Linked DNA regions of Elephas maximus indicus. The main gene of each other region encodes a partner of the protein of the gene in region 2 in a complex. Links are inferred from orthologs where the notes say so. Each region holds a gene or a part of one and is shown on either strand. Other genes may lie near its edges. The genes, in order: APLN and APLNR.

Evidence for each region.
Region 1: the proteins of APLNR (region 2) and APLN are in contact, whole or in part, in a cryo-EM structure (PDB 8XZG), measured with the Homo sapiens proteins. The link is inferred for Elephas maximus indicus from reciprocal best matches to the Homo sapiens genes APLNR and APLN. Residues at the interface, in NP_005152.1 of Homo sapiens: Tyr35, Phe78, Trp85, Tyr88, Thr89, Tyr93, Ser106, Ile109, Phe110, Met113, Pro163, Val164, Arg168, Gln180, Cys181, Tyr182, Met183, Tyr185, Glu194, Glu198, Leu201, Gly202, Ser205, Tyr264, Lys268, Tyr271, Ser275, Cys281, Asp284, Leu285; in NP_059109.3 of Homo sapiens: Arg66, Pro67, Arg68, Leu69, Ser70, His71, Lys72, Gly73, Pro74, Met75, Pro76, Phe77.

The regions. Positions count from the first base shown.
Region 1 is NC_064846.1:26,785,948-26,798,061, forward strand, and holds the start of APLN (apelin), read left to right. Parts: upstream 1-7,482; 5' UTR 7,483-7,562; coding exon 7,563-7,629; intron 7,630-12,114. UniProt on the Homo sapiens protein: Peptide hormone that functions as endogenous ligand for the G-protein-coupled apelin receptor (APLNR/APJ), that plays a role in cadiovascular homeostasis. Functions as a balanced agonist activating both G(i) protein pathway and beta-arrestin pathway of APLNR.
Region 2 is NC_064825.1:118,642,904-118,654,487, forward strand, and holds APLNR (apelin receptor), read right to left. Parts: upstream 5,113-11,584; 5' UTR 4,826-5,112; coding exon 3,683-4,825; 3' UTR 1,424-3,682; downstream 1-1,423. UniProt on the Homo sapiens protein: G protein-coupled receptor for peptide hormones apelin (APLN) and apelin receptor early endogenous ligand (APELA/ELA), that plays a role in the regulation of normal cardiovascular function and fluid homeostasis.

The DNA.
Region 1 (12,114 bases), on a different chromosome or scaffold from region 2:
CCATGTCCTAATGCTCAGAACCTATGAGTGTGACCTTATTTGGATAAAAGGCCTATGCAGTTGTAATTGAGTTAAGGATCTCAAGATGGGTTCCTCTTGTATTATCCAGGTGAGCTCTAAATCCAGTGACAAATGTCCCTATAAGAGACAGAGGAGGAGAAGACACAGAGGAGGCCATGCGAAGATGGAAGCAGAGATTGAAGTGGTGCAGCCACAAGCCAAAGGATGCCTGGAGCCACCAGGAGCTGGAAGAGGAGCCACCAGAAGCTGACAGAGATGTGGCCCTGCCAGCGCCTTGATCTCGGCCTAGTGAAACTGATTTCGGACTTTTGGCACTAAGATAATAAACTTCCGTTCCTTTAAGCCACCAAGTTTGTGGTGATTTGGTATAGCAGCCGTAGGAAACCAATACATGAGTTTTGCTGTAAAATGGCTACTTTTCTCTTCCTTTTTTTTAATGCAAAAGCATTACCTTTTTAAGGTTAGTATTTGACTCCATCTTTGTGTGTTTGGGAAAACTATGAAAGATGAAAAGTGGCAACCCAAGATCTCAGTATGTAGCCAGAGCTAGGATCCAAGTGGTGATCAGGCGTAGGCACCAGTTTCAGGGGTATAAATTTGAATTTGAAATGGAGCAAAGCTGACGCAGATCATCTCTCTGACCTTGACCTCATTATCTCAGAACTTTCAACTCATAACTTAACCGGTCATAGACTCAACACCTAGTCCCCAACAGTCTTTGCCCTGGCTCAGCACACCAAGGTGCCAGATTGGGGCTTGTATGATATCGCACCTGATGTAAGCCGGATAACACTGGCCAGCAAAGCAAGAGGAAGCAAGTTCAATGGCCCCCTGGAACTTGGAGATAAACCTGTTCCTTCGGGAGTGCTAGCCAAGCTCCCAGGGCTCTGCTGCCTGAGGAAGGAATTAGCCTGCCTCCCCTGGGGGAGCAGTGTGTATTTATAGACCCTAGAAGAGAGGAAGGATGGAGGCTCCTGGGAGACGTCATAGAGGATGTGCAGAGGAAATGAAACTGCTCTGAAATACAAACGGGAGGAACAGGGACCTGTGTGGCTTTGAGAGAGGCCCAAGGATCAGAAGGAATTAGGCAGGATGCAGGGAAAAAGTGGCAACTCTGTGGGGGCTGGGCTGGGGGTGCAGGCGGAAAAGAAATTCTTCTCCTTCTTGGAGGAACCCTCTTAGGGCCTAGCCAACTAGTGAGCAGTGGCCTCGGAGACATAGCTGATTACCTGAATTCCACTGGCATCGTGTTTTTAATGAACATGGTTTTTGCGTCAAGTGAGATGTATCTGTGGGAACCGCTGATGTCTCTTAAATATACAGTGAAACCTGGGTAAGCCAGAACCCGTGTAAGGCGGAAGCCTGTCAGAGAAGGAAATCTCAAATATTTTCCAGTAATAGAGAGTGAGAGAAAAGTGGTAAGACTGCACCCTGTCAAAGGCAGAAAACTTGCGAGACCCAGAAAAACAAGGCAGTCTCGCCAAGTTCCAGCTGTCACTGGTTTCATTGTATAAGCAAACCTGAGAAACGGAAGTAGTTTGCAAAGAAGTTGGAAGAAAAACATTTAAGTGGAGGAACCATTTCTGGGACATTCGGGGCCTGTTTGAGAGTGGCCACAAAGCTGCTCCGTGGAAAGGATTAGGAGGCAGTAGGAGGACCTAGATGTAGCATTAGACAGCACGGATGTGAATAGAGGTGGTGTTGTTGTGCTGCAAAAGGGCTACTTCTCTAATTTTTGCGAAAGTGGTGCCTTTTAATGGTTAGTATTTGACTCTGTGTGCTCGGGGTCGCTATGAGTCGGAATCAACTCGACGGCACTGGGTTTGGTTTGTTGTTTTGGTTGCTTGGGAAAAAGGACAAGTGTGAAAGACAAGACAGTAAGAACCCAGGAAGATCTCTGTCTGTGGCCAAGGTTTGGACCCAGCTGGTGATCAGAATTAAGGGACATTAGACAGCAAGCCAGCGGCCCTGGTGATGCAGTGGTTAAGTGCTCGGCTGCGCATCGAAAGGTTGGTGGTTTAAACCCACCAGCCTCTCTGTGGATGGAGAAAGATGTGGTGATCTGCCTCCGTAAAGATTACAGCTTTGGAAACTCTATGGGGCAGTTCTACTCTGTCCTATAGGGTTGCTAAGAGTTGGAATTGACTTGATAACAATGGGTTTCATTTGGTTTTTTGGTTAGGCACCACCAGGCAGAGGGGAAAATCATACAGTTTGCTGAAGAAGAAACTCTAGCAAAGTCCACCAACCACCAAGTTATTTCCTCCAAGTGGTGATTAGGGTCTTTTGATTCATATACTGCAGTTCCAGGTTATGGTCCACGTAATTAACATCATGTTCTCTGATTAAAATGGTCTCACATCAAAAATGGAATGTTAATCCATGAATAGGCCATAAGCCTTTACCCTATGGAGAAAATGGAGAAAAAATTGAAGTTGTCAAAGATTTCATTTCACTTGGATCAACAATCAACACCCATTGAAGCAGCAGTCAAGAAATCAAATGACGTATTGCACTGGGCGAATCTGCTGCAAGACCTCTTTAGAGTGTTAAAAAGCAAAAATGTCACTTTGATCACTAAGTTGTGCCTGACCCAAGCCATGGTTTTTTCAACTGCCACATATGGATGCAAAAGCTGGACAACAAAAAAAGAAGACAGAAGAAGAATTGATGCATTTGAATTGTGGTGTGGTGAAGAATAAACCATGGACTGCCAGAAGAACGAACAAATCAGACTTAGGAGAAATAAAACCAGAATGCTCCTTAGAAGCAAGGATGGCGAAACTTTGTCTTGCTTACCTTGGACTTGCCATCAGGAAAGACCAATTCCAAAAAAGGACATCATGTTTGGTAGAGAGTCAGTGAAAATGAGGGAAACTCTTAATGAGGCGGATTGGCACAATAGCCACAATAATGGACTCAAACATGTCAAAGAGCATGAAGATGGCACAGGACCTGGCAACATTTCGTTCTGTTATACGTAAGGTAGCCACGAGACAGAGCTGCCTCGACGGCAACTAAGAACAAACAACAACTCTGCCCAGCACTGTGCTGGCTGTTACACAAGTTAAAAGCTCAACTCTAGTCAATGGAATCAGAAAGACAAACACTTAGTAACGAGACAGTGAAAACTCATGTTCTCTGCTGGCGCGTAGCTGAGCAAAGGTAATTTGTCATGGAGCTAGTCAGGGGGACGTCAGCTAGCAGCTGGCTTCTTAGGCTTTTTTCTTTCCCCCAGGTTCCTAATAAGTAATTCCAGAGACAGGGAAAGCTTTGAGGCTCTTCTTAAATACTTTTTACAAGCCTTGAGCATTACGCTCTTTTAAGAACTATCTATGTGGATTCAAATTGACAACAACGGCAACTCCTGAAAGATTAGATAGAAAACTTAGAGGGCAGTGAGTTTATGTTAATGGCTGAGGAACATCTCAGAAAAGGATGAGAATGGTTGCACAACTCTAAGAATGTAATCAATGTCACTGAATTGTACATGTAGAAACTGTTGGAGTACGTTTTGCTGTGTATATTCTCAATGACGACGAAATATAAATAAAATTATTTTTTAAAAAACCAACTTTTTACCAGTGTCGCTGCTACTGAACTTCATTGCCCATTAATTTAGCTTCTGTCTTAGGGAACAAATTGGATGAGCGACATTGGAAAAGCAGCCCTTCCTCCTTATGAGGTGCTCAGAAGGGCTGGGTTCGTGGAATGAGGGTCCTGGGCCTGACCACAGCCGTTTGGGCGCCTTTGCAGCCAGCTGGGAGACTGCTCAGCCAGTAAGCGGTAGCTCCATGGCAGGAAGGCAGTGTGGCACGGAGTGAGAAACAGGAGAATGGAGTGAATTAGACCTGGATTCCGGTCTTGACTTTGCCACCAGCTTTATATGTAACCTTGGGCAAGTCACTTTTCTCCGTCTCAGTTTCTCCATCTGCACAATGAGGGGGTTGGAGCTCTTTCTGTTATGAAATGTTTCTGATTGCACCCCACTTTTTGCATTACTCTGGAAACTCTGGCAGTGTCGCGGTTAAGAGCTATGGCTGCTAATCAAAAGGTTGGTAGTTCGAATCCACTAGGTGCTCCTTGGAAACCAAATGGGGCAGTTCTACTCTGTCCTATAGGGTTGCTATGAGTTGGAATCGACTCCAAAGCAATGGATTTTCGGTTTTGCGTTACTCCAGTCAAAATAACCACTACAGAAGGAGCTTCTTGGATCAAGCAGACACTTGTGACTATGTTGGCATCTCCTATCCTATCTGTAGGGGAGATGAGACAGCAGAGGGGGCCGGAAGCTGGCGGAATGGACATGAAAAGAGAGAGTGGAGGGAAGGAGCAGACTGTCTCATTAGGGGGAGAGCAATTAGGAGTATATAGCAAGGTGTACATAAATTTTTGTATGAGAGACTGACTTGATCTGTAAACTTTCACTTAAAGCACAATAAAAATTAAAAAAAAAAACCAGTACACAATTGGAGGGGTGGGGGGGGGAGACTTCTTTGTATATTTCTGCTAATTGTTGGTGTTGACCCACCTAAAAATCTGTTGGATGAGTTGTGATGATTTTTTCCAAAATCGGATAGTTTTATATGTATCGTAAGCCTAGAGTGATTGTTAATATGACTACACAATTCTTTGTTTCAGTCAATGAACATTTATTATTGAATATCTGCTCTGGGCAAAAGCACTGCTACTGAGAATACAAAAATGAATAAGACATAGTCTTACCATCTGATAAAGTCGGTAAGACATATACACAAATATCTACAAGAATATATCACATTTATACAGTGCTTATTTTTTTATCTTACCATGAGAACCAAGCACCCTGCCAAGTATTTTATAAGTATTAATTCATTTAATTCTTCCAATAACCCAGGGAGCTAGACTCTATCCTATTATTTAGATGAGGAACCTAAGGCTTAAATAGAAAGGATAATTTGCCCAAAGTTACTCATTTAGTAAATGTTGTTGTTGCTGGGTGCCATTGAGTCAATTCTGACTCACAGTGACCCCGTGTGACGGAGTGGAACTGCCCCATAGGGTTCCCTAGGCTCTCATCTTTACAGAAGCAGGTCACCAGGTTTTTTTCTCTTGCGGAGCTGCTGGTAGGTTTGAACCGCCAACCTTTTCGTTTGCAGCTGAGCGCTTTAACCACTGTGCCACCAGGGCTCCTTAGTGATACAGCTGCCTTATTCCAGAACCCATGAGTTGAACCACTTTGGTTCACTGCTTCCTAACGTAATTTAAGACCGAATGAATTAGGTGTTACAAAAGTAAATAAAGATACATGTGGGCCCAGAAAAAACCCTGTTGCTGTCAAGTGGATTCCGATTCATAGCAACCGTATAGGACACAGTAGAACCGCCAAGTAGGGTTTCCAAGGAGTGGTTGGTGGATTCTAAATGCTGACCTTTTGGTTAGCAGCCACAGCTCTTAACCACTGGGCCACCAGGGCTCCATGAGGGCCCAGAGTAGTGAAAAATTGTTATTGAAGCTCATTGAGGAAAGAGTGTGGACTACCAGGTTAGGCAGATCTAGGAAAATTGCTTACCCTCCATTAGCCTCAGTTGCTTCTCTGTAAAGTGGGACAGTAAGGAACAGGACCTACCTCACAGGCGTGAGGATTACATACGCTAATGCATGTACAATAGTGCTTGACACATAGCACATGCTCAATAAATTTGAGGTCTCATCATTATCAGCATCATCATCATCTGTGGGGACAGGCAGAGAGGAATGGGCTGCGACAGGCTTGTGCTCTGAGGCTTCAGTTGGCTCAAAGTGCCGCATTAGCCATAGCGGGGTAGGAAAAAGGCCACGTTGACCATTAACAATAACTCTATCTTATTCTCTTTCCACTACCTCGGTATAGGCAATAGGGATGTTCTTGAAAAGTTTATTCACATATTCAAGTTATTTACTGAGCACTGATACAAGTACTGGGGATACAGCTATGAACAAAACAAAGATCCCTCTCTAATGGAGCTGGCAATTCTGGTGGAGGGAGACGCATAATGAACAAATTGTGCACATACCAGACCCTTTTAAACATTTCAAAAAGTATTTTAAATATGCCATGGTCTCTCAAGTCTCTTACGGTGCACATAAACACGGTCCAAAGTATCTTTTGGGTTGATCTGGACTTGCACGTCAAGCAAACTGCCTGGTCGACTGAACAGAGGAAACACCTTGCGATGTAGTCTTTTAACATGTGTTGAGTGCCACCTATGTGCGGAGTCTGACATTGGGGACTTTGAAGAGAGCCAGAAGATTGAGAACATAAGGTCTTATCTTAGGGGGTTCCCAGTCCAGTACAGGAGTCCTTACTTTGGGACTTTCTCAGGCTGGAGAAGCTAACCGTCTAGTCCCGGGTAGGCACCCAAAGGCAAACGACTTCAGGACCTGCTTACAAAGGGGTATCCCAAATGTGTGCGAAACTAATGCAGCCTAGACTGTTTGGAGGTTGGTGGCCCCACGACGATGGGGAAGAAGAAGGGAGTGCCATAGGAGCTGTTGTTATGTCTAAACAGCGAGAAGAACCAGAGAGGCAGGCCCACCTGGATGACTGTTATCCTGGGAAGGCTTCTGGGGGAGACGGTATCGAGGTGCTCCAAGAATGAAGAGCTCAGGTGAAGGGCAGGGTGGGGTGGGGGCGGCTCTAAGGGGCTGTGGATAGTGGGAGAAATGGGGGGCGCTGATTAACTAATCAAGCCTTGAGCACAAGCATAAGCAGTCATCCCAACTCAAACCCCGTTGAAGATACAGGGGAGAAGAGGCCAGAGTGTGGGAGCCCTGGCCCAGCCCTTGCCGCTGGGGAGCAGCGCAGAGAAGGACCCCGGGTCGGGGTCGGAGGTGGAGGGAATGGGTGGGGGCATCCAGGGCTGAGTCCTTCCCTGAGCGCCCAGGTTTCCCGCCAGCTGTTGAAGAAGCGAGGTGAGAAAGGGTTAAGTGTGCCCCTCCACCGCGCCCCCTGCCCCCCCCCGCCCCAAATGCTTCCTGTGTTTGAAACCCTTCAAGTCTCGGCCAACCCTTTGGCCCTCGGCCAGGCGGGCATTGTCCGGGGAGCAGCGGCGCAGCCTTTGTGGCTGGGCCACCTCGGGGTTCCCGTTGGCGCCCGGGCCGGGCGGCCGCGTGCTTGCTGGGCAGGGGGCGGTGCGGGAGGCGCGCGCTCTCCCGCTTCCTGCCCCCCCACGCCAGCCCTCCCGATGACCACATGACCAAATGGGCGCGCGGCCAAGCCACACGCTACAAAATGCAGCCCCCGGAGTGAGCGGGAGCACTTGCGCTGGCAGCCTGGGCCGCGGGCAGTTGGCGCGGCGGGGAGCGGAGCAGCCCGGCCCTTGGAAAGAGCCCGCCGCGCCTCCGAGCCAGCTTCGCGGCGGGCGAGCGCGGCTGCGGGGGCGGGAGCGCGGCGGCGGCGAGCGGCGGGCAACGCGGCCCGGCGCGCGCTCACCCGGCTGGAGCCGCGAGCTCAGCGCCCAACTGCCCGCCCGCGCCGGCCTCTGCGCCCTGCCCTCTCCGGCCCGGGCCGCCGAGGCAGCATGGACCTGCGGCTGTGGGTGCAGACGCTCCTGTTGCTCTGGCTCGCACTGACCTCGGTGTGTGGAGGTGAGTGCGCGCCCGCGCCCCTCGCGGCCCCACGGCGCTGCGCACCCGCGCCCGCCCCCACCCCGCCTCCGGGCAGCCCGGCGCGAGCCGGCCGCGGCAGCCACGCGCCGCTGACTGACAGGGCGCCTGGGCCAGGCCGGCGCCGCGGGGAACAGCTTCCTCCCGGGCTCGGCTGGCTAAGGGCATCACCTGCCTTGCCGGGCCCCACCTGGCCGCCCGCCCCTCGCAGTCCAGGAACTCCGGGCCGCAGCTTGCGCCCCGCGCCCCTCAGGGATCAGTGGAGGGAAAGAACCGAAGCCGGGTAGGCTGGGCTCACAAGTTGGCGGTTTTCTGGCCCGTGGAGGTCAGGGTCTGCCGACTGGTCCAGGGACGCGGGCCACTCAAGATGCTGTGCCAACATGCAGACGTGACACTTGTTGCATAGGCCGGAGCTGGGCCGGCCAGGCTTCTCCTCCCTTAACCAAGGTCTGGCACAGGAGGCCTTCCCAAAGCTTCCACCGGCCCCAGGGACCAGCTCTTCAATATCCTGGCTCCGGCCTCCCCTTTACCCCGGGCACCGGCATGTTTTCCCTTAGTCCCCCTGTCTTCAGACACCAACCCAGGAAACAGAGTCAGCCTGGGCACCTCCATGCACCTCCTGCACCACGTCTCCCACCTGGCAATACTTGGCTCTGTGTTCCCTTGCAGGCCCCAAGCCTGCTCCCTAGCAGCCCCAGACCGGGTGGCTGGTTCCTCTCTGCGTCAATGTCTCCTGGGCTGCCAGCTCCCACCTCCAGCTGCCACAGTCCTGTGATCTGGCTGTCACTGCTGCTTGCTTGCCTGGCACCACAGAAGGGGAATCCAAGCTGAGGTGGGCTGGTGCTAGGTGCCAGTGCTGGAGTCACAGGGAGGTGGGAGCAGAGGGAAGAAGAGGGCAGGGCAGCAGTTTTCCTAGAGGAAGGGTGCAGGGCCCTGCTGAGTTCCAAACCCTCTAGAATAGGAGAATGGCCTGGCTTGGCCTCCTTCTCTTTGTAGTCAGCGGCCTTTCTTTGCTCTTGCCTTTTGGCACTGCCCTGGCAGTGGGAGCACTGTGACTTCTCTCAAAGGTGCATTGCTTGAGGCTGGCACCCTTTTGTCTTGGGTAACTGTCCAGTGGCCTTCCTCTTCAAGACCTAAGCACTGGGTCAGTCACCTTGGTAAGGAGGGAGCAGATTTTTCCTCAGAAACTCCTGTCAGGCAGGTCAGCCACCTCCTTGGTGAGAAGGGGGCAGACTTTTCCTCAGAAACTCCTGTCAAGCAGGCACTGGTGGGAAAAAACCAAAAGCTGTGAAGGAAGGACACGACACGAGCCTGCCCTCCAGGAGCCTACCGCCCAGTGTAGTTGGCAAGACAAGACACCCACGTGATACCACTAGCAGAGTCCAAGGTGGTGCCTTCTGGGAAGAAAGAGTGGGTGCAGAGAGGGCACCCCAGAAGAAGCTGGGGCATCTCCATCTGCACACTTGATGCTCTCACCAGAGGCTACAAGAGAGACCCTTAGCCAACAGACCACCACCTGAACCCTGTCAGGGTCCAACCATTGAGGCAATACTGGGAACGGGGAGAATATATTTCAAGGGGAGGGAAATTGGCCCGGCTGCCTGAGCCCTGTGTATGTCTGTCCCCAACCCCACCACTTCTTGTTGTAATTCCCCGTTACTCATTTCGTCACCTGTCTTTACACCTTGATTTGTGTAAATTCATTGCCTACATATTTTGCTTAAGTTTAGCACTGGAAATTTCCAAGGTTCCCACTGCCTTCTCTACCTCACCACTCCTGGAGTGGGGGACAGGCACCTCCCTGGTAAGTGGCCCCCAACCAAGGGTGCAGGTACACATGACCTGCTTTTCCTGCCTCCTGTCCTAGGTTAGAGCCAGGGATCCCAGAAACACTTTGTCCTTGACCCAGCCTGGCATGCTGTCCCCAGAAGAGTTCCAGGCCTGAATACCATGCTTCCTCCACTCCACACTCTGTCCTGACTTGGAATGCCCCTCCAACACTCTTCCACTGCCTCCTGACCTGAGATACACTTTGCTTTTCTGAGTCTGAGAGCTGCTGGGCCGGGGCCAAGTGTCCCTTTGTCTTTGAGCACCTTCCTCCCCTCGCCTCCTCCTCCCCTTCCCCAGCCCCAGCTTGAAGCCTGCAGTCACCTTGGTAGTGAGAGGACAGCTTACTGTACCCCCCCTCCCGCTCAGGGAGGGGGCATCTCCACTCATATCCCCAACTGCTAAGTACCCATGTAACCTGAGCCTGGCCTCTCACCAGCAAAGGACTCCACAGGCAAGTGGAGTGGAGAGGCTGCCAGAGCGATGCATCTGAGGGCAGCAAAGCTGGCGCGGGAGGATAGTTCAGGGCACCAGGCTGGAGGGCGAGGCGCACAAAGGGAGGGCACTGCATCCCAGAGACACACACAGTGCCACAGAGCAGTGGAGGGGCCCAGCCTGCATGGTCCCCACCAGAGCACACGTGGGGGCTTTTAAAGCCATCACAAGGCAAGCCAGACAGGGAAAGGAAAAACAGGTGCCTCGTTCCTGGTGAGGAAGATGGGTTCCTGAAAAGGTGCACGTAGCTCTTTGTGCGCTGGCCAGTTTGGAGTTCAAGTTTCGGGAAAATCATCCTAGTGCAGTGAAGTGTATCCCAGGTCAGGAGGCAGTGGAGGAGTGTTTCAAGTCAGGACAGAGGGTGGAGTGGAGGAAGCATCAGTGATGGTTCATCAAAGAGCAAGGAAGGGCTCAAGTCCCTCCAGGGTTGCAGTTCATTGGGAATTGCCCCAGCCTCCCTTTAAGTTAACAAATGTCTGTTGCCTTTAAATCTATTCCGACTTATAAGCTGGAAGAAAATATTGAAGTGGGCTGGGGATGGTGCCATTTCTAAAGGGGAATTCTTTTGTACAGCCAGGATCAACAGCCTCTAATTTGTCTGTTTGGACAGGAGAAAGCCAGGGTTTCAGGTGTCAGCTTATCTTCAGGTGAGCCAGACTCAGAACCAAAGGTAGCGAACAGATGGGTGGCGGAATCAGGGTGCTGGGGGTGCCTGCAGACTTCTGAACACGAGGAGGATGGTGAGGCCCCACCCATTGAGACAAAAGATGCCAGGGCCTTCAAAAGATTGGAGGAGCCAGTACAAATGATATTAGTACCAATCCGTCCTTGCCACAGGGCCTGAAACAGCATTTTTCCTCAACTGGGCCCAAGCCCATGCTCAGTGGCCCTTGCAAGAAGCCACAGTCCCACTGGCCTCCAACAGCAGTGTGGCCCCCTGAAAGTTCAGCCCCCAAAGTGCTGCGAGGGTGGGTAGCTAGGAGGGAACCAGGCCAGCCAGGGACCCCCAAAGGTTCAAGAAGTTGGGGAAGCAGGGCTTGAGGCTAGAAGAAGACAGGCCTAAGGGAGACAAATCACAGGTCCCTCTTGGGTGCTGAGCATATGGAGATGACACCCCCCCATGCCCCCTGTACCCATGGCGTCATAGCCGGTGCTATTGCCACACCCCCAGTAGTCGAGGGTGTGGAAGGGAGAACCAAGGCTTCTCTTACATTTTCAAGGCCTCTGTGGCCCTTCTGGAAACCCTGGTGGCATAGTGGTTAAGTGCTGTGGCTGCTAACCAAAAGGTCAGCAGTTCGAATCCACCAGGTGCTCCTTGGAAACTCTATGGGGCAGTTCTACTCTGTCTCATAGGGTTGCTATGAGTTGGAATTGACTCGATGGCAATGGGTTTGGTTTTTGGTTATGGTCCTTCTTGGTTGCGCAGTGGTTAAAAGCTTGGCTGCTAACCAAAAGGTCAGCAGTTTGAATCTACCAGACACTCCTCGGAAACCTGTGGGGCAGTTCTGCCCTGTCCTATAGGGCCACTATGAGTCGGAATCCACTCGACGGCAATGGGTTTGGAGGGTCCTTCCAAGGAACCCTGGTGATACAATGGTTAGGCGCATGGCTGCTAACTGTAAAGGTTGGCAGTTCAAAGCCATCCAGCGGCTCCATGAGAGAAGGACCTGGTGATCTGCTCCCTTAAAGGTTACAGCCTAGAAAACCCTATGGGGCAGTTCTACTCTGTCACATGGGGTCACCATGAGTTGGAATTGACTCAACGGCACCCAACAATAAGGGTCCTTCCGCTAAGCCTGGCCACACCCTCAGCACAGTCCTTACCACCCTGCATATTTCTCTGATACTGACTCCTCATCAGCCTCATTCCAGTCTACCCTCAGTAGATGGTACAGGCCTTCAGGGGGCCCTAAAACACAGGCCAGAAGCAGAAGCAGCTGGAGTGGGGGCTTAGTGAAGGCCTCGCCCCAGCCCCAGCCTCTTCTCAGAAGGCACAGAGAATAGTTCTATGACAGTCAGACAGAGCACCCCCTTGTCTCTGTCCATCACGACGGCTCTGAAGTGCTGATGTAATTTTTTGTTTGTTTTCCCTTGGATGATGTGTTTAGGGGAGGAGTTGACACATTAACTGACACTGGCCATAGC
Region 2 (11,584 bases):
TCCACCATTCCTCTCCGACCCCATCCTACCCTAATCCCCGGTCACTGAACACCCTCCCTGTTCCAGGCAGTCCGCCAGGCCTGGATGAGGTCTCTCTTTTCTTCCCAACCACTGTGTGGCCTCATTTGTTCCTGGGGAGAAGCATCACCATACAGGGGTAAAGAGTGCGGGCTTTGGGGTTGGACAGACCCAGCTGGTTCCAGGTCTGGCTCTTACGCATACTAGTTGTGTGACCTTGGTCAAGGGCCCTAACTAACCTCTCTATGCCTCAGTTTCCTTATCATCAAAATGAGGTAGAAATGCCCCTCAGAGATCACCTACAAGGACTAAATGAGGTAATGCTTGGAAAATGCTTAGCACAGTGGTAAAGCTCAATAAACGTTAGCTCTCTCATTAATATTCGTTCTGCTAAGGTGATTGCTTCGTGCCAGCTGCATGTGTTAGTCTTTCTTGAAGATGGAAACACCTCTGGACTGAACATATTCCCCCCAGGGGTCACTGCAGCCCCTTCCTGCTCCAAAGAGGTCACCATTCAGGGTCCAGTTCTCTCTGGCTTTGACCCTCTAGTTTCTTGTGTCCATTTTCATTTGGGCAGAATCCATCTGGATAGTGATGTTCCCAAATTTAGCCTCTCCCACAAATCCTTGGATGGGGCTTTGTGTCATGGAGATTATCTGGGTCCAGAACAGGGGGTTCTCATTCCAAACTTCTGGAATGACATCGGGAGTGGGTATTTTTTTTTTTAATTTTTCAAAACATCCAGGATGACTGTTATGGAAGAGCAGGGATTCGAACTTCTGGTCTAAATTGGGTGGGTGCTCACTCGATACTAAATTAATGAATGAATGAATCAATACCCAAACCAAACCCATTGCTCTCAAGTCAGATCCAACGCATGGCAACCCCATGTGTTAGAGTACAATTGCCCCACAAGGTTTTCTTGATTATAATCTTTACAGAAGCAGATTACCAGGCCTTTCTTCCGTGACACCACTGGGTGGATTCAAACCACCAATTCTTAGGTTAGTACCAAAAGCAAACTGTTTGTGCCACCCAGAGGCCTTGAATGAATCAATAAATCAATAGGGGATGATAAATGAACAAAGAAACAAATGAATGAAGTAATGAATGAATGATAAAACTGATAGGTCTACCCAAAGGGAAAAATGTTGGAATTTTTCCCCAGGCCTGTGCTCTGGACTCCAAGCACAGGGGTTTATTCTGTGGTTTTTCAGAACATAAAACAGCCACTCCTTAGTCCTTTATTCCTTTGCCCTCCTCAATTGGCTCCCTATCCGTTCCCTTTCCCAGTGTCCATTTCCTCCACCTTCTCGCCCCCTCTCACTTCTCTTCCAGTTTCCCACTTCACTCCCTCCTTCTGGCTCCCACTTCTCCCCCCAACCATTCTCACCCCACCACCACCCCGCTGTGGCATTTGCGAACTGGGGGTGCTTTCCTTTCCCAATAGACTTTTGTGAGAGGAGGCTCTGGACACAATAGTTTGATAAAACAGTTTTATTTAATGAACCACAATGACTAACAGGGTCAGAAAATAGCACAGACACGGTGAAGAAGGGGCAGGAGGTGGGGAGACGAGGGAGTGTCCCAGCAGGCAGCGTTCCCTACCTTCTCTCCCCAGCACCCCCCTCCCCCGAGTTCCAGGCAGGAAGTCTCTGTAAGTCACCCAGGAGGGCCCCAGAGGGGTACTTTCTTCCCTTCTAGAAACTTCCTCCTGCCCTAACTGATATTTTGAGGACAGCCCTGGGCAGAGTAAGAGAGTCTGTGGAAGATTCTAGTCTGTGATGGGGTAGACTATGCCGAGAGGAACCCCTTCCCCTCTCTTCCTGGCTCTCCCAGGGACGGACGGTCACATCAAGCTGGGCTCTTCCTGCCTCCGTGGCTCTTGTCTTGTCCTTTGTGTCCAGAGTCTTCCAAGAACAAAACCCGGAATATACACCCCGCCCCCATCTCACAAAGGGTCCAACATCAGTTTCTTCCTCAAGGTTTCTCTGGCAGCACGGATGTCATCCATCAGCCCCACCACTGCTGCCCAGCCCCTGTTCCCAGCCCCCAACTCAGCAGGAGAAGCCGAGGGGCCCCACCCCAACGGTAAGCCCAAACTCACCCAGTGCCTATTATCCCATGGCCTCCTTAGGAATAGGGCCACCAATCCTGGGAAAGGGAGAGTGAGTAAGGAAATGCTCATAAGTTCAAAGCAAGGTGGGGAGGCAAGGGAAAGGGGCCAGGGAAGTTTTTAACCAGTCTCTTATTTCCCTCATAGAATTACGGAATGAACAGGAACCCAGCTCATAGGAATTCCCCAAGACTTGGCCACCAGACTGTGCTGCGAGAAACCTCCCAGTAGGGACTCGGGTGCAAACACAGACTTCTGTCTTAATGCACGGACCAGCCGTTAGAGCCCCCAAATCCAGTGGGGAGTGGACTCCGTTTTATCCTATTTGTCCCTTCTCCCTCAAGGATATTGTGCAAAGAGGAGAGATGAGGTGGAGAGTGAGGAGTGGGAGGAGGTTTATCCAAGCGACACAGGTACATTGCTCTTCAGGTTATGAATAGCCATGCTTATATATACACACAAAGAGCAAGCATCCCCACCCCAACCAAATTGACTCTTGGTACCAAGAGGCACCACTGCCCATGTAAACCAGCCCAGGGTGTTGGATTGAGGTGGGGAGTCAGGGGATAGACCCACAGCTAGCAGTCTGAAGGAGGTTCAGAGGGACCAGGATTTGGGGAGGAGAACCAAGCAGCATATAGACTAAACCCAGACAATCATTTAGCTCACTTTCTCTCCTTTTCCTTCTCCCTACCCAACTCCTCGTTCTTACAATGAAACCAAGGAGCCCATAGCTTCATCAGCCCCATTGCCTTCCAATCCCTACAGAGGATAAATGAAAGAGTCCCAGGAAATTTGCAGAAGGCATATCTAACTGGCATCTTAGCCTTTCTGGGAAGGAGCTGGATATTCCTCTAGCCCTCAGTCTGAAATGACACCAAATTGATCCAATTTTAGGGAAAGTTCTGGAGCTCCCAGCTGGCACGCTGCCCACACCTGCTGCAGTCCATTCTCCAACTCTCTCTGGGAACAGAATAAAGAGCTTATAAGCTTCTGGGTTCTTAACCCTTAGAAGCCTTCAAAAGGAAGAAGTAATAAGGAGAGTAGGAGAGACTGAGGGATGGGGACAAGCTCATGGAGAGGCGGTCAGAGCCAGAAGGTAGGGACCGAGAGTGAAGATTGCAGAGAAAGAAAGGAAGAGGTAAGGGAAAACCAAAAAGAGAAAATAGTGGAGACCAAGAAAAGGAATGGAGGGAAGCTAACTTTTATGGAGCCAAGGACTCCCACATCAATATTTTAAGATCAGTATTACTACCTCCACTTTTTACAAATGGAGAAACTGAGGCTCAGAGAGGTTAAGAGGGCATGCGAGGTCAGTCTTAGAGGAACTAAGCATGAGTCTGCAGGTTCAGTCTCCCTCCACTATAACCCAAACCTCTGGGAAGAGTGTAACTTAGTAAGAGAAGGGCCAGATGGAGGTGGGGTGCAGGGAGAAAGCAAAGGAGTGAAGGGCAAGAAGGAAGGCTCGGTCACTCTACCTGATTTTCAGAGAGCAAGGGCAAAGGCTGAGGCAGGGCAGACAGCTCGGGCTGCTCCGGGATCCCAGCCCTAGTCAACCACAAGAGTCTCCTGGCTGTAGGGGATGGACTTCTCTTGCGCCTGCTCCCCGCCCTTCCCCAGGTTGGGGCTGGGCCCCTGGCTGTGCCCCGAGGAGTAGCTAGCCGACTTCTCCCCGCTGCTGCTGTGGGAGGTGCCCCTACACCTGCCGTGGCCCCAGCAGAGCATGGAGGTGCAGGTCTTGCGGAAGCGAGGATCGAAGAAGGCGTAGAGGAAGGGGTTGAGGCAGCTGTTGACGTAGCTGATGCAGGTGCAGTAGGGGAAGACGTTCATGAGGAAGAGGTCGAAGTCGCAGGGCCAGTGCACCAGGCTGCCCAGCATGTAGAGCGTCTTCACCAGGTGGTAAGGCATCCAGCACAGAGCGAAGGTGACCACCAGCACCACGATGATACTGAGCAGCCGGCGCCGCTTCCGCAAGCCCTCGATGCGCTCCTTGCGGAAGTGGCTGGCGATGGTTTGGGCGATGAAGAAGTAGCAGGTCAGCATGATGATGAAGGGCACCACGAAGCCCACGGCAGTGGACGAGACTCCCAGGCCCACCTCCCAGGCCCACTCTGAGCTCGAGGTGGCCACCAAGGAGTAGTCCATGTAGCACTGCACCTTCGTGTTGTTCTCCAGGTTGTCGGTGGAGCGGAAGACCATGACCGGCATGGCCAAGAGGGCGGCCAGCACCCACAGAACAGCCGTGGCCACAGCCCCGCTGACCCGCAACCTCAGCCGTGCATTGGCTACGGGCCTCACGATGGCCAGGTAGCGGTCAAAGCTGAGGCCGGTGAGGCAGAAAACACTGGCATACATGTTGACAAAGATGAGGTAGCTGCTCAGCTTGCAGGCGAAAGTGCCAAAGGGCCAGTGGTAGTCCTGGTAGGTGTAGGTGGCCCACAGTGGCAGGGTCACCACGAAGGTCAGGTCAGCCACTGCCAGGCTGGCGATGAAGATGTCAGCCGAGCGCCTCTTCTCCCGGCTGCTCCGAAACACGGTCCAGAGGACCAGGCCGTTGCCCGTGGTGCCCAGAAGGAAGACCAGGATGTAGATGGCAGGGATGAGGGCCCCAGAGGACTTCCAGTCCGTGTACTCGCACTCGGACTGGTTGTCCGCCCCATAGTAGTTGTCGAAATCACCCCCTTCCTCCATGCTGGGGAGTGGAGAGAAGACAGGCAGGGGACTCTGGGGGTACCAGTTCCGGGGCTGTGTCACCTACTCAGCAAGCACGCTGAGCTTCTAGCTGGAGCCTCAGAGAGAGGGAAAGGGCTGAAGGTGCCTCTGAGTGGACAGAGCCCTTCCCTGAGGCAGGAGGAGCTCCTTCTCAATTGCCGGGACCCCTGATGATGCTCCCATCTGCAGGCTTCCCTCCACCCTCCCGTGCCTCCAGCCCAGCCAAGAGACTTCCTTGCACCCTCCTGAGTCTGTCTCTTCTTGACTTGCCACTCCCTCCTCCCACCTCCAGACCAACCCCTCACTTGTGAGTCTTAAGATCTCTAAGTTACAGCCCACTTGTTTTTTTCCTTCTTGTCACTGGGCAAAGTGGACCAAATTGACCCCTGCTGTACTAGGCAGAATGTTATCTGGGGCTTGCAGCCTGCTGCTCTCCTCCTGGCCCTCCCTCCTCCCTCTAACTGCCACCCACCTTCCCCCCAGCCTGTGTCCCAGCCCCCGGGATTTCCTCTGTACACTGTCTCTGCCTACCTTTTGGGGCACCCCCCGCCTCAGTTCTCTCCACTTCCCTGTTCTCACTCCCTCCCATCCACTCTATATGCAGCAAATTATGCAGATGGAAATCCAGCCTGAGCTGGAGCCGGGGAGGTGGGGGGAGGAGGGTGTGAGATTTCGCTGGATGGTCCCAGCTTTTGGCAAGCCCACCTGGTAGGAGTCTGTCCCCTCCACTCCCCACCCCCTGCACCCCCATCCCCCACCCAGACCAAGCTTCTCTCTGGGACCCTCTTCCCATTCTCTCCATCATGCCGTCTGCTGTACCCCTCAGCCCTGACGCTCTTTCCATAAGCTTTGTGGTTTGCAGACATGATGAAACAGGGATTGCTCTAGAATTCATAAACTGCTGGCAGATCGCAGTTTGCTGATTGCATAGAAAATTTTAGAGGGTCCGGGACAGACTCACAGGCCTAAAGAAACCCCAAACAAAAGGATCTTTCACTGAGTCATTAAATCTATGGGGAAACTGAGACTCACAAGGTAAATGTCTTACCCACGGTTAAAGCCATTTAAAAAGCTTTCAAAGTCGATTGCAACCCTATAAGACAGAGTAGAGCTGCCCCATAAGGTTTCCAAGGAGGGCCTGGTAGATTCGAACTGTCAACCTTTTGGTTAGCAGCCAAACTCTTAACCACCATGCCACCAAGGCTTCTTGTACCTAACACAGTGCCTGGCATATAATAGGTGATCTGTAGATGGTTGTTGAGTGAGTGAGCAGATGGACGAATTAGGGGAATGAGTGTATGAATCACCATGTGATAAAAGCTGGGATACATTTCCGTCCTCAGGCTCTTACATGCCTTGCCTGGTTTTTCTGCCCTCCTTGGACCAGGAGGTCTATATAAGTCCCTGTAGGGGCAGGAAGTTGCAGCTAGAGGAGGAAGCAAGGAATGGGGCAGCCACTGAGCAGCTGCCATGGGCACCGTCCTATAGAAATTCATTTTGCCCTGTCTGGTCACCTCTTCAGGACCTGTGGCCAGGGAAGAGAGCTGGAAGAATAAGGTAAGGTAAACATTCTTTCCACCAACCCCAAAGTAGGGGAGGCTACCTAAAGTTAAACAGGAGTGAGGGAGACCAAAATCAGGAGATGAGTCTACATCCAAGGCAAAAGGCTTCCATGCTAGAATCCGCTGTCTGGAGGGAGGGTTGGTCAGAAATCCTCTGCAGGGGTTTTAAAGCAGGAGTCCCAAACTCAAATACCTACAGGAGCCAGGCCGAATGTGTCTATGGGTAAAGCAGTCAGTTTGAGAGGAGAGGGAGTGGTGGACATTCTGGCAAACCAGAGCATGCACAGTCCACAAGAGAAGAGCTTCTCAGCTCCAGTCTCTGGTTGCCATGTGGAAATGTGGAACCTAGCATTACTACACCTATCTTTTTTCACTTTTCAGGGGAATTTCAAATTCTGGATTTTTTTTTATGAGAAATGTCCTGATTTGTAAATTTAGAGAATTACTTCCATTTAAAAACAAACAAGTTGAACACATCCTTGGGTTCCCAGTTGATGCTGTTTGAGTAGGAGCTTGCCAAGAACAGAAGGTGGGAGAACAACAGGGAGGCTAGACCAGGAGGAAGGGATGTAAAGTGAGTTAGGAGACAGAGAAATGAACGCAAACAGGACAGAAGCCTTAGGGTGCACAGGGAGATACAGGAGTGGAGGCTGGAGAGGAAAATAAGACAGAGCCTGAGGGCCCTGGATGACCTTTACTCTACAGGAATGTGGAATGATTACCATGTTGGTGTTTCTCTTGAGGATTACAGTACTGAGCGCTAGGCATTCTTCCGAACGTTCTATGCATTTTATACACATTTATTATCTCTTTTAAGGAGCCCACGTTAAAGCACTCGGCTGCTAACCAAAAGGTCAGCAGTTTGAACCCACCAGCCTCTCCATGAGAGAAAGATGTGGCAGTCTGCTTCTTTAAAGATTTACAGACTTGGAAACTCTATGGGGCAGTTCTACTCTGTCCTATAGGGTCACTATGAGTTGGAATCAACTCGACAGCAGTAGGTTTTTTATACTATCTCGTAGCTCTTAACCACTACCCCACCAGAGTTTCCACAACAGTACTACAGGGTAGATACTTTCATTAGCTTCCCTTTACAGATAAGGAAACTGAAGCACAAGAAGCGGAAGTAACTTGGCCAAGGTCACCCAGCTCGTAACTGACAGAGCCAGAATTTGAGCCAAGGCTGTCTTGAGCTCATAGACCGTACTACTATCCCCCCCAAAGAAAAAATTCCAACCCTTTTTAACATTTGGGAGTTTGGGATCTGTTAAGCAATATAGAAATGTAGGACTATACTAGGATAACTGTAATTTTCTTTAAAATAAGCTGTCTTGGGGCAGTTCTACTCTGTCCTGTAGGGTCGCTATGAGTCAAAATTGACTCAACGGCAACAGGTTTGGTGTTTTTTTGGGGGGGGAGGGGATGAAGTTAAAAATAGATTGACTATCTTGAAGACATGCTGAGTGAAATAAGTCAGTCACAAACAGACAAATATTGTATGATCCCGTTTATATGAGATATCTAGAATAGGCGCGTGTATAGAGACCAAAGTCTATTAGTGGTTCCCACGCGCGGGCAGGAGGGAAGGGGAAAGGAAGACACAATGCTTAAGTGACACTGAGCTTCTGTTAAGGATGATGGAAAAATTCAGGAATGGTGATGGTTGGACAGCATGATGAACATAATGTTAGTGAACTGTATGTGTGAAGATTATTGAAAAGTCAAATGTTTTCTTCCTATATATTTACCACAATGAAAAAAGAAGAAAGAGTAGATTGACTAAAATATTTTAAGGACGGTCCCCAGCCTGGAACGAACAAAGTATAAAAATCCTGCTAGGCTATGATCTGCGCCTTTAGGGTCAGCATCCTGGGGTTTCTGGTTGCCCGGTGCCAGCTGCAAGGTCTGCAAAATGGTGCTGGGGACACCCAATAGGACCAAGAGCTGGAGCCTCGCTGCTCTCCCAGGACACACAAAGGAACTGTTGGGGGGCTGTCTGCTCCTGTATGTCTGGCTAATAGACATCTGCGCAGGTGGCAGAATGGCCTTCATTATCACTTGAGTGCCAAATTGGGTAGAAATGGTTAACCTTCTGCCATGTCAGGCTTCTTTAGCGACTGCCTTTATTTACCAAAAGGGACCTAAGCATGGTGCAGGACTCTTGGGCCCAGGTCAGGTCACAATAGGTGGCCCTGTTATGAATACGGATGATGGATTAAGGCCAAATTTGAGTCTCTCCATGTTCTCAGACCTTCCCTGGGTCTCCCAGGAAAATGCAGGTACCCCTCCCTTTGCTGCTAGGAACGGGGAGGAGAGAAAACAAGCTTAGTGTCCCGGCAATCAGGCCCCATTTCCCTAACCCCCCTCCCCCAGCTGCTCCCACTTGGAATCTGAGCCAGATGGGAGCCTGGAGACCCTGTGGGAAAGGATAGGGATTCAACTCTTTAATCCTCTGGCCTCTGAGTTCTTTGCCCCAGAGGGGGTAAAGAAGGAGTTAATCTCACCCAAGGAATCTGGGAAAGAGACTCACTGAAAGGGGAGGGAATTGGGGGCCAGGCCTAGGAGGGGGCCACTGATTGGGGCCAAGGGTGGGGAGGGTGGGTAGAGTGTTGATAAGATCCAGCCCCTTGTCACAGCTGGCTGGAGCCAGATTGTAGACATGCCCCCAGGAATGGCAGCCACATATGCAAAATCACCCAGCCTCTCTTCACCCAGCCTGATTCTCGAAGTCCTGTCTTGATCTGTCCCTTTCTCATGGCGGACCATCCAACACAGAATATGAAAGACTCGTAGGGCCAGTAGCTGGAGGCTGACCCTGTGCGCCCCCAGGGCACCGAAGTTAGCCCTCTACTAGACAGCAAGTCCTGGGGAACAGAGACTCCCTGCTTCTCATTTCTGCAACCCCCTCAGCTTGGCACCTGGTTAATGTCTGTTGAATTAAAGCAATAGAAATTCACTCAGGAGGATGGGTCTCACCCCAGGGCTACTCTGCTGCATTAACAAGGGTACCGTTTTGCTAAAGTTCACCCGAATCCTCCATGCTGAGCCATTTGGCAAACCAGTAGCTAAGGCAGGACTGCTGGGCCCAGTCCCCAGCTGGTCTGCCCTAGAGAGGGCAGAGTGAGATTCCTCAAGGACTTCTCTCTCTCCTGGGTGATTTCTCCAGGGTGCTGTCATGAGACTGAGATGAACAGCTCCTGGCAGGACAGTGCCCAGACTTGCCACAGGGTTCTTTGAAGAGAGCCCAGACTGCTGGAGGCCCCTGGAGTCAGCGACTCTAGTCCTCCCCCCACTCACCACCCCCTCCCTGCACATTTTGTCCCTGGCCTGGAACACTGGGACTGGCTGGGCCCTGTGCTGGTGGCTGTGTGCAGCTGTGTGCACCCTGTGAGTACAGGTGTGCATGCATTCCTGTGTGTATGTGTGTGTGGAGACACACCATGTGGTTGCTGGGCATGACGTCTACTTGTGCCTGCACCTGTATGTATATGGGAGCGTGAGCGCTGGGTCCATGCATTCATGTGCTGACCCATGTGTAGGGTGGTCAGGGATCAGGATAAACATCTTTCTTGGAGGCCAGGAAGGGGTGGTTAATTGGATCTTGCTGAGGGTTTGGGATGAAGGGAGAACAGCTGAACTCCTCTGCCTGGGCCCTCACCCAGACCTTGCCAGAAGCTCTGGGCTGTGGACATCAAAGTGGAAAGGTTGCCATTTGCTGCCCCTCGCTAACTTCTCACCTCCTCCCTCTAGCTCTCTGCTCCATCCCCCTCACTTCACAGGTCTGCTTTGAACTCAGCAGCTTCAGACCTCACCAGGGTAACAGGGCCCTCTCCCCTCCTTCCCATGAGGCCACAGCTGTGTCCCTAACAGCTGGTGGTGTTGTCTGAGGGAAAGGGGAGGGAGGGCAGGGACACAGGCAAAACGAAGTTTGGCAGCCCAATCCCACACTCGGGAATTCCCTCTCCCTCTCTCCAGACACATAACCCCCCTCGCATCCCAGCTTTATAGACACACACACAGGCTCTCTCACACACGTCCTACTTTAGCAGCTTATCTAACCAAAAACAAATGGCCAGCTGCACTCTGACGATTAAAACAGACAGACAACACACCATACCCAGCAACCCCTGATTGCCCGGCCATTTGGCACACCTGCAGACTCCCAGGCAATAGAGCCCTGGGCTCTAACAGTGAAGGCAGGAAAACCCACTGGCCCCGGAGACAGGAATCTTCAGTTCTGATCCCATCTTGGCTGCTAATCCCTTCACTCAGCAAATACTTATTGAGCAGCTGCTATGTACCAGACCCTGTTGCAGGCACTAGGCACACAGTGTGAACAATTCTGACCGTGCCACAGTCTCCCAAGTGTACAGTCTAGACATGGGGAAGAGAGGAGAACACAGACATCAGGAAAAAATGTGAAGAACCCAGTGATAATCACCACCAAGAAAGTTAAACTGGGTGATGAGACAAAATAAATGGAAGGAGTATCTTAGATAGGGTAGACCAGGAAGGCCTCTTGAGGTTGCTGGCCTTCTAGCTAAGACCTGAATGGCCAGTTTTCCTATGTGACCCCCAGGGCAAGGCTCTTGCCCTCTCTGAGCCTCAGTATCCCCATCTGTACATGAGGTTGGACCAGGCAGGTCTAGCTTCCTGTGATTCTGGGAATGGTAGCAGTGGCTGCCGGAAGTGGTTGGAGAAGTGATTTTCTTACTAAAGAGGCCAAACAGAGCCTCTCGGTAGAGCAGTGCGATGGATAGATGGGATCCATTTTCCCCACTGTGACCGCAGGTTATTTGTTAGACCTCAAACAACAGGGATCTGGAAGCCTTTCTTTATCTCTCACCGACCCCCTCTCTCCCACTCATCCACCATCACCCACCTATTCCCCCATTATTTAACACAGGACTCTATCCATAGCACCAACCAAAATCAAACCAGTTGCCAAAGAGGCAATTCTGACTCATGGCAACCCCATGGGTTGCAGAGTAAAACTTTGCTCCATAGGGTTTTCAAGGCTGTGACCTTTTGAAAACAGATCTGTAGGCCTTACTTCCAAAGCACCTCTGGGTAGGTTCAAACCACCAACCTTTGTGTTAGTAGTCGAGTGCTTAAACATTTGCACCCCCCAGAGACTCTTCAATACATTTTTTAAGAAAAAAAATTTGTTGCCATC